Linked DNA regions of Xenopus tropicalis. The protein of the gene in region 1 purifies or fractionates together with the protein of each later gene. This does not show direct contact. Links are inferred from orthologs where the notes say so. Each region holds a gene or a part of one and is shown on either strand. Other genes may lie near its edges.

Region 1 (4,510 bases):
GAAGCCGCTTTCCCAAAGAAGTTGTTCACAGTCTGCGCCTTGGCAGGGGCTTTGCCACTCGATGCCGTCGCCTACACGGGGAGAGAGTTCAGCAGGTAAAACGGGGCGTCCGAAATCAGACTTTCAGCTTAAAGGCTAAGTAAACCCAGCCATGACTCTGCCCCACGGCGCCCCCTAGTGTTGCTATAGAAGCTGCCAAAAACCATCATTATAGATGCAAGGAAATTCCCCAATGAGAATTGTACTGATAAATAAGTTGATTATAAATGCAAAAGAACTGCCCAGTGAGAATGCTGATTCCCAGCACTGTGTCAGGCCCCTTGCTGGTACCTTACATATAGAGATAATGATGGCATTTTCTCCCCTCATTATATGGCACAGGAATCAGACATGGGGATAAAGGGACAGACTTGTTCAGTGCTGGGAAACTGTGCTTATTGCTCCCAACTCCAATTGCAGGAACAGAGAACAGGGAGCCGGATTTACTCACATCAGCTGGGATTCTCATTGGAGGATTTTTCGCATGTTAAAGCAGTCGCTGGCTGTGGGGATTTGGGGGAAAGTTTTATTGGGCAATATTGCTTTAAGAATACAGCCCTGATGTTGCTGGACTACAGCTCCCAGCATGCCCCAAGCTTCATTATATGTTACATTATTGTGGGATTTGTAGCCCAGTAACAACTGAGTAACGTTGGGTTGAGCCGCGCTGGGCAGCAGGGTTTGTATCCCCTTTAAAGTAGAACTAAAACTCAAGGCTCTAGCTTAATGCTCTATGTTATATGCATGGGGGCCCCGTCTTGTACTGTTGCGCTATTTTATATCTAAATAACCTTATTATTGCTCAATGAGTAACTACCGGTATAGTGCCAGTCTATGCAATATAGTGCGGTTTGGATGACCCCTGCTGTCCATTTTGGGAACTGCAGCTGCTGTACCTTTATTGATTCCAAAAGATTCTGAAAAGAACTATTATTGGAATATTCAGATTTCAGAGCAGCAACAAAATAATATGATCAATAAATTTTGTGCCTTAGGTTGCTTGGCGACATTGACATTTGAATTAAGTCTGCCTGGATACCAAGGATCCTATCTGATCCAAATATTGCTGGAACAAACGGGTTTATTTGCCCTTTATGCAGTATGATAGTGAATATTTTAAATGCAATAACCCCACAGTGCAGCATCTTCTCCCCCCAAATACCAGATCCAATTGTTTCTATTGGCTGCACACCCTGATAGCTCAGGGCATAAGTAAGTTATGGGTGCTAGCACCCCTAGCAGTATAAGTACACAGGCAATTGCACATAGAAGATTGAGAGCACAAGCAGCACAGACATATCAGAGAGAACTTACTGCTGGTTCCTTGGCATCGGCTTTGCTTTCCTTCTGCGTTTCCTGCTGTTTGACAGCTTGTTGGGAAAACATTCCCATAATGCCTTTAGGCTGCTTGGATGTGGGCTTTGGGGCGGGGGCAGCAATGTGCCCGTTGATTGCAGGTTTCGCTGTAACATTTGCTTCTCCGGTTGGTTGGGCGTTTGCTTTTAGGAGCTGGGAGATTTCCTCTGGGGACCTGGGCACGGCCTCTGGGCACTGAATGGCACTAAACCTACAGGCACATAGGGATTCAATGGGAAACCGACTGTATACCTGTCTGTATATACCCCCCCCAGGGGCAGATACACCCCTGTACCCCTAAGCATTCATGGGTACCCCTGGAACTATAGCAGGGTGACTGTTACCCCAATGTTTCTATATATCTGTAACCTTGTTATGGGCTAAGGGGGCCCAGCCTGAAGGCCAGTTAGGGGGGGATTTGGGGTGAGTGCTTATTTGTGCCCTGGGTACCCCTGGAACTATAGCGGGGTGACTGTTACCCCAATGTTTCTATATATCTGTAACCTTGTTATGGGCTAAGGGGGCCCAGCCTGAAGGCCAGTTAGGGGGGGATTTGGGGTGAGTGCTTATTTGTGCCCTGGGTACCCCTGGAACTATAGCGGGGTGACTGTTACCCCAATGTTTCTATATATCTGTAACCTTGTTATGGGCTAAGGGGGCCCAGCCTGAAGGCCAGTTAGGGGGGGATTTGGGGTGAGTGCTTATTTGTGCCCTGGGTACCCCTGGAACTATAGCAGGGTGAGTTACCCCAATGTTTCTATGTATCTGTAGCCCCGGGGAGAGGACACACGTACTTGTTGCAGTTGTGCAGGTTGTTCTTGATGATATCATAGTCAGTGTTGAAGAGGGGAGCGCAGTCCTTCAGAGCCGCTTTCTGGATGCTATACACATGGACGCTGGCAACCTCCGCAAGCTTAGACTTAGTGGCTGTGGGACAGAGAGAAAAAACAATAAGGATTTAGGCTGAACTTTGGGATCAGTTTGGCTGCCCTTATGGGGGGGGGGTAACATCCTGTAGGACTGCACAGGCCCCATTATGACCCGACTGCCAGCCCCGGCCTAACAAGTGGGGTTTAGCTGTAGGCCCGAGGCTGAAACTGATACCCACTTACCTGCAAGCTTCTCCTCCTTCACTACGGCCACTTTGTGAAACTGAAAGAGGAAAAGGCAGAGCGTTAGCCGCAATCCCACAATGCACCAGCGACAGCGAATAACAGCACTGGAACAGGAAATGACACACTTGGCCTAGATTTATTGAACGTTCCCGATCAGTCCGGCTCTCCAGGCGCTGTGGGATATATGTTCTACGTAGACTTTTTGTTGTGTCGGGGCCCAGACTTGGCCATTGGTCACTTACAGGGGCGGGGAGTGAACAAAACTGCCCACTAGGGACTGGGTAACTAGGACACTGCGCCCTGAACTGAATCCACTATGTGGGAATTTGCCCAAACACCAAATCCTGCCTGAAAGATTTGGCCAAATCCCAAAACAAATCCAAATTAGGTCACAAAGGGGTTAATGCGCAGAGAGCGGAGACAGATTGTCAGCTCACGTGTTCAAGTGATGAAAAGTCACAATTTTAAAGGGGTTTTTCACCTGCATTAACTGTTAGTAGGATGTAGAGAGTAATATCCTAAGACGATTTGCAATTGGTCTACATTTTTTATTACGTGTAGTTATTTCAATTTAATTCAGCAGCTCTCCAGTTTGGAGTTTCAGCAGCTATCTGGTTGCTAGGGTCCGAATTACCTTAGCAACCAGGAAGTGGTTTGAATGAGAGACTGGTATATGAATAGGGGAGGGGCTGAATAGAAAGATAAGGAATAAAAAGTAACAATAACAATAAAACTGGAGCCTCACAGAGCAATAGGGTTTGGCTGCCGGGGTCAGTGACCCCCATTTGAAAGCTGCAAAAATTTGGAAGAAAAATATTCCAATACCTGCGGCCCAATGAGAACACTTCCACATAATCACGGTCTCCTGACCCAAAAGCAGATAGAAAAGTAGGGCTTGAACCCCAAAGATCTCTGTGCCAGTGAGAGGGGGAGTGGCCAATACCCGCCCATTACACGCGCTGCCCATACTCACAGGGTAACCGTCCTGCAGACATTTCCCGGTCACCAGGTAAGTAACGTGCACCTGTGCGTTGCCATTTTCCTTCCGCTTCCTTGTCACGTAGTCGTACAGCATCCTGCGGGGGCACAGGTACGTGAGAGAGACACCCCCAGGGGCTCAGCACAGAGATATATGCAGGATATGATAATGCAGGGGGTTGTTACCCCCTTAAACCCCCCCCCCCCCAATATACATATTGTAACATATTGTTTCTCCTACTCCCATGTAACTGGAGGAGTCCCAAGCCAGACTTGGATTTCTTACTATTGAGTGCTATTCTGATACCTACTGGGAGCTGCTATCTTGCTCCCTTCCCATTGTTCTGCTGATCGGCTGCTGGGGGTGAGGGGGGGGATATCATTCCAACTTGCAGCGCAGCAGTAAAGTGTGCCTGAGTCTGAGCTTTCAGCCAGCGCTACACATTAGAACTGCTTTCAGCTAACCTATTGTTTCTCCTACTCCCATGTAACTGGAGGAGTCCCAAGCCGGACTTGGATTTCTTACTATTGAGTGCTATTCTGATACCTACTGGGAGCTGCTATCTTGCTCCCTTCCCATTGTTCTGCTGATCGGCTGCTGGGGGTGAGGGGGGGGGGATATCACTCCAACTTGCAGCGCAGCAGTAAAGTGTGCCTGAGTCTGAGCTTTCAGCCAGCGCTACACATTAGAACTGCTTTCAGCTAACCTATTGTTTCTCCTACTCCCATGTAACTGGAGGAGTCCCAAGCCGGACTTGGATTTCTTACTATTGAGTGCTATTCTGATACCTACTGGGAGCTGCTATCTTGCTCCCTTCCCATTGTTCTGCTGATCGGCTGCTGGGGGTGAGGGGGGGGGGATATCACTCCAACTTGCAGCGCAGCAGTAAAGTGTGAGTGAAGTTTATCAGAGCACAGGTCACATGGCTGTGGCACCCTGGGAAATGAAGAATATGGCTAGCCCCATGGGACATTTCAAAATGAAATATAAAAAAATATGTATGCATTTTTGTAAATGGGGG
Region 2 (5,229 bases), on another chromosome or scaffold:
TAAGCACTCACAGAAACGATGCAATGACTTCTCTGTCAAAAGATTTCTTGTGTCTGTAATTCATGTGCCAGAGACATGCAGCTCTCTGCTCTCTCCTGCTCCCCCCTCCCTCAACAATGCTAAGAACTCACTCCCCACCCCTTAGGAAAGTGGATCTGAGCCAATCAACAGAAGCTGACTCATAGTCTTACTAACTGAGCATGTACACTAGGGGGCACATTTACAAAAGCACAAACGCTCGGAGTGTATTTTCGCCTAATTTTTCGGGCATCCGCACAACTTTTTTCGGACACCGCACAACTTTTTCATATGATTGCGCTAAAAAATCGTAAAGGTTTTACCGCTGTTTACAATGGTTTGGTACGAAAATTTCGTGACTTTCGGATCGCCAATACGATATTATCGTGACTAATACGATTTTTTCGTAAGCATTTTCGGGATATTTGCGATCTTCAGAAATTTTCATTTCCAATCCGAATTTTTCCCATTCAGGATTAACTCTTTATTAGCCTTTCCTTTAAGGAAATATGATTGCCATTTTTTAGGCATTTATCCTATTTGTTGTTCCAGTATTGAAATTACACAAAAATTTTGCATATTTTAAAAGCGTAGGTTGTCCCTGAAAAAACAATATATAGAAAACAACAAGTCCCCCCCTAGAAAATGTCCCTAAATTAAAAGAGCACAACATTTTTAATATATACATACCAAAGGTGTGTATTTCTGTTGGAAGTGAAAAGGGTAAAAACATCACCATATTAAACTTACCTGTACTAGATCTTTCCTTGGTCTTAACTTCAAAAGGGGCTCACTAAGTCGAATAGAACATAATCCGCCTCTCCCTTCATAACTGCAGACTCCAGCACATCTTTTTCAAGAAAGACAAATATAAATAATGTTGAAATACTCAAATAGGCTTATATTATAACAAAATGCAGAGTAAAAAGTGGTGTAAACTCTGGATGTTGATATGACAAAATAAGGGCAAAGACATTTGTATAACTAACTGTACCCAGGTTTAGCGTCATACACACTCTAAAACACAAACCCACACACATTTTTGGGGGGAGTTGTACACACAACACACACTTTCCCTCTAAGGAAAAACATATTTTGCTGGCTATGGTATAGTTTATATAAACAACGCTGCTGTGTGCTCATGGGCCAGACAAAAAAAACGAGAAAAGGCACAGGTTACATAGAAGTTAACAGATAAGCTCTGGGAAATACAGTGGTATTTTATCTACTATGTAACCTGTGCTTTTTTTCCAGCTGCCCCCCATGGATATACAGCAGCTTTGTTTGTATAAACTGTAGTACTGTTTCTGAAGCAAACACAAAATTTTTACCAGTGCAGGGCAACAGTACATTATTTTTTAATTACTTTTAAACATTTTCATTGTTTGGTGTTACTGTTCCTTTAACTAATCATTTCCCACAGGAAATGCCCCCAAAAGTGACAAAGAGTGAATAAATCACTAACTGCAACTGAAATGCAAAATTCTGCTGACCTCCTCTTATTCACAGAGAATCTAAAAATTACACTCTAACCGGTTTTACCTCTCCTTCTTATGAATGGCAGCTGGAAACATTCCCCTGTTCTGGTCTTTACCCAGTCTCTGCTCTGTCGCAGCCATGTTTTCCACCCATATAACTATCTGCATAATAAAACCTTGTTCCTTAAGCCACTGTACCTTTTTGTGCACCCTGGAAAACCGAACAGCATGTTCCTTCAACTTGCCATAAGGGAAACTTGTCTGCCTTACTTGTTCCCAGAAGAAAATACAGTGGTGCAGAATGAGGGAAATAAATGTTGTGCCAGCCCCACCTCTTCCTAATGATTATGCCCCCTGCCATGCTTCAGTCCAGGCAAATAAAAATGATGCTAAGTTTAATAAAAAAATGTTTTTTTGATACTATAGCACGAGAGGTGGGAAAGGAAGCAGAGTTTGGCGGCCAAGTAAAAAAAGAAAATAGATGAAAAGTGATGACTGTCAAAAACCACCTGGGGAAAACACTGCAATTGCCCCATCACATGGAGGGGGCTACACATCAGGGTTAGGGGTGGGGAATATTACCCCCCACATTAAGTACTACAGTCAGTTTCCCCCTTTAAAGTTCACTTTATCTGGGTCTTTCCTCATGTACTGCTGCACGGTGCTGCACTTGACATTTTTTTTGTCAGTTTTGCTTAGGGATGCACCAAACCCACTTTTTTGAGTTCAGCCGAACCAACCCCAACAGATTCGGGCGAATACCGAACCAAATCTGAATTAGCATACGTTAATTAGGATAGGTAAGGGTTAAAAAACAGGGCACGCTACATGAGCGGCGAAAATTTTTCCCCCTAACATTTAACCCTTCCACGTGCTAAATAGCATATTCTAATTTCTGCTAATTAGGATTCAGTTCAGCCAGAACCCTGCCAAAAAGGGCTGAATATCAAACCGAAAGGGCTGAATATCAAACCTGGATTTGGTGCATCCCTAATTTTGCTACTTGAATGTCATATTCCCTAGACTGTGACACCCCCATCCATCACTGATGACTTTACCATAACCATTGCCTGGAACTTATTCTACTGCCATCCATTCAACCAGAGTCTCCCAATCTCTCTGAATTTAAACAAACATGTTTCTACAGAAGAATGCATTCATTCATCCTAGCATTCATTCATGATACAATAATACATGATACAAGACCTACAGCCTTACTAGTGCACGAAGCAGCATATTTTTTTACAATACAGTAAAAACACAGAGAGGGTAGACACTGCAATAAATGTTTCAAGGATTAAGTGCCATCTACTAAGGGTGGCAATACACGTAGCAACCATATCTGGCGATTCAAATCTGAATCGTCAGATATGGAGGTAGAATCAATAGAAATTCAACCTCCTTCTGCCGATTCAGGCTTGAACGTAGATTTTGCTCGGGTGCGTTTAATGGCGTCCAAACAAAATCTTTTAACTTGGCCGATCGCTGAGTCGACCGATATCCGCAGCCTTTTGGGTCACCTCGTGGAGCTGCCATTCACGCACTGAATATCGTACATAACTAGGTTTCATACGATATCATCGGTGAGTATATGGCCAGCTCTACAGACTGGGGAGGAAGTAGGTCTGTGCCCCATATAGAATACCATTTAGATTGTAAACTCTATGCTGTTGCCACTAGGGTTGCCACCTTTTCTGGAAAAAATAGGTCTTTCCATATTTATACCATTGGCAGCAAGCATCACATTTATCAGCCAGGTCAGTAAAATACTGCCCAGGGTTGTCTAACTAACTGCAAAACTAAAATTACTTTGCTATGTGGTGCAATAACAGCAGCTGCTATTAGCTAAGATAGTAAGAAAATACATATCGATTCAGAAATAAATAATTTAAGTGGGAAACAAATAAAACTGACTTACAGCGTCATCCTTGCGCTCCACTTTACTTCTATACCAGACAACTGTCCCCAGAAAAAAGTGTCATTGAACTCCAGAAATAATGCACGAATATCAGGGTTTGGGTCCAGAAGTTCCCAAGTTGGATCAACCACTGACAACTGCATGACGCCCAACAGTCCCGGAAAAGTCCGGCGGCACCAAAAGCTTCCTTCGCTCCAGCTGAACGGCAACAAACGGAACAAGTCTCTTCTCGCGAGACTGTGACGTCTAACAGTGACGCTGCGGTTAGGAGCTTTGGAGAGTGACAGGATTCGTTACGTTGATGTTGCAGAAGGGTAGGTGCTGCCAAGAGGCGATGGATGTGCGTGGCATTCTGCGGACGTTCATTAACAATTTTAAAATGTCTCTGCTCTAAAGAGCCACCCCTGCCATAGTTTGTCTAGAACTAATAATTCATTGTTTATTTGCTGTCTTGAACACTTGTACCACTTTTTTTTTTTGATGGTGCAGGCAATAGCCAAAGAGCTGCTAACAGAGTCTTTGCTCCCAACAGTTTATCAAAAGGCATTTGTGTTTTGTTCAGTTTCTACTTTTGCAGGGGAAGATAAGTGCTCACAGTTATAGGTTCAACTTGTGCCAACAATTCCTGCCACATGGAGCCTCTTCTTCAGATCCATACTGGGATAAAGAAACAGGCTGTGGCGTTTCAAATACACAGGAGCCCAAACAGCCCCCCTTCAGCCCAATAAATAATGGTTGCTATGGCATCTTACATCAGCCCATCTGTTATTTGCCAGAATCCACACATTGCCAATCCATGCCTGTTCTTGGTTGAACAAAAAAAAAAGCCAGACCACATTAAGTCTTCTTTAGTATTTTGTAGTCTACAGGTGCCACAGTATTTTGTACAAAAAAGGGCCAGATTTTCTGAATTCAGGAGAAGACAATGGGTGAAATTGAACCAAATCTTTTTTTTTTTAATTTATGTGAAATCAAAGACCTGATTTTTCACAATTTAGGGATAAGAAATGGCTATTTTAAGAGAAAACAATAGGTGAAACCAACCAAGGGTACTCTTGAGTTTTTTCAGAGGGTCTCAGTGGGGGTTTTTGTGCATTTTAGTGACAGAACAAGGGCCATGTAAAGGTCCCCATACACGGGCCGATACTAGCTGCCGATATCGGTCCCTTAGACCGATTCGGCAGCTAATCGGCCCGTGTATGGGCACTGCTGACAGGCCTGCCCGACCAATATCTGGCCTGAAATCTCCTGGATTCTGACGATATTGCCCACCCGTAGGTGGGGATATCGGGAGAAGATCAGCTCGCTTGGCGATGTGGCCAGATTGGCCGTATATGGGGACCTTAAGGCTCTGATGGGGTTTGATCTTGATTGCTGGCTGATCTCCCTTACCATTGGGTCAGGAGAGCAGCCAGCAAGAGCTTATTTCTCATTTAGGGTGAAAACATACAGGTCCTTTTCAAAAAATTAGCATATTGTGATAAAGTTCATTATTTTCTGTAATGTACTGATAAACATTAGACTTTCATATATTTTAGATTCATTACACACAACTGAAGTAGTTCAAGCCTTTTCTTGTTTTAATATTGATGATTGTGGCATACAGCTCATGAAAACCCAAAATTCCTATCTCAAAAAATTAGCATATCATGAAAAGGTTCTCTAAATGAGCTATTAACCTAATCATCTGAATCAACAAATTAACTCTAAAAACCTGCAAAAGATTCCTGAGGCTTTTAAAAACTCCCAGCCTGGTTCATTACTCAAAACCGCAATCATGGGTAAGACTGCCGACCTGACTGCTGTCCAGAAGGC

Evidence for each region.
Region 2: the proteins of pold3 (region 1) and sprtn purify together in Homo sapiens (affinity purification with mass spectrometry; 3 studies listed by BioGRID, with this or other methods). This does not show direct contact. The link is inferred for Xenopus tropicalis from reciprocal best matches to the Homo sapiens genes POLD3 and SPRTN.

The regions. Positions count from the first base shown.
Region 1 is NC_030678.2:175,001,312-175,005,821, reverse strand, and holds part of pold3 (DNA polymerase delta subunit 3), read right to left. Parts: intron 3,587-4,510; coding exon 3,484-3,586; intron 2,548-3,483; coding exon 2,508-2,547; intron 2,323-2,507; coding exon 2,190-2,322; intron 1,607-2,189; coding exon 1,384-1,606; coding exon of another isoform or gene 1,354-1,383; intron 72-1,353; coding exon of another isoform or gene 1-71. UniProt on the Homo sapiens protein: Accessory component of both the DNA polymerase delta complex and the DNA polymerase zeta complex.
Region 2 is NC_030681.2:57,897,596-57,902,824, forward strand, and holds the start of sprtn (sprT-like domain-containing protein Spartan), read right to left. Parts: upstream 3,568-5,229; 5' UTR 3,558-3,567; coding exon 3,415-3,557; intron 869-3,414; coding exon 769-868; intron 1-768. UniProt on the Homo sapiens protein: DNA-dependent metalloendopeptidase that mediates the proteolytic cleavage of covalent DNA-protein cross-links (DPCs) during DNA synthesis, thereby playing a key role in maintaining genomic integrity.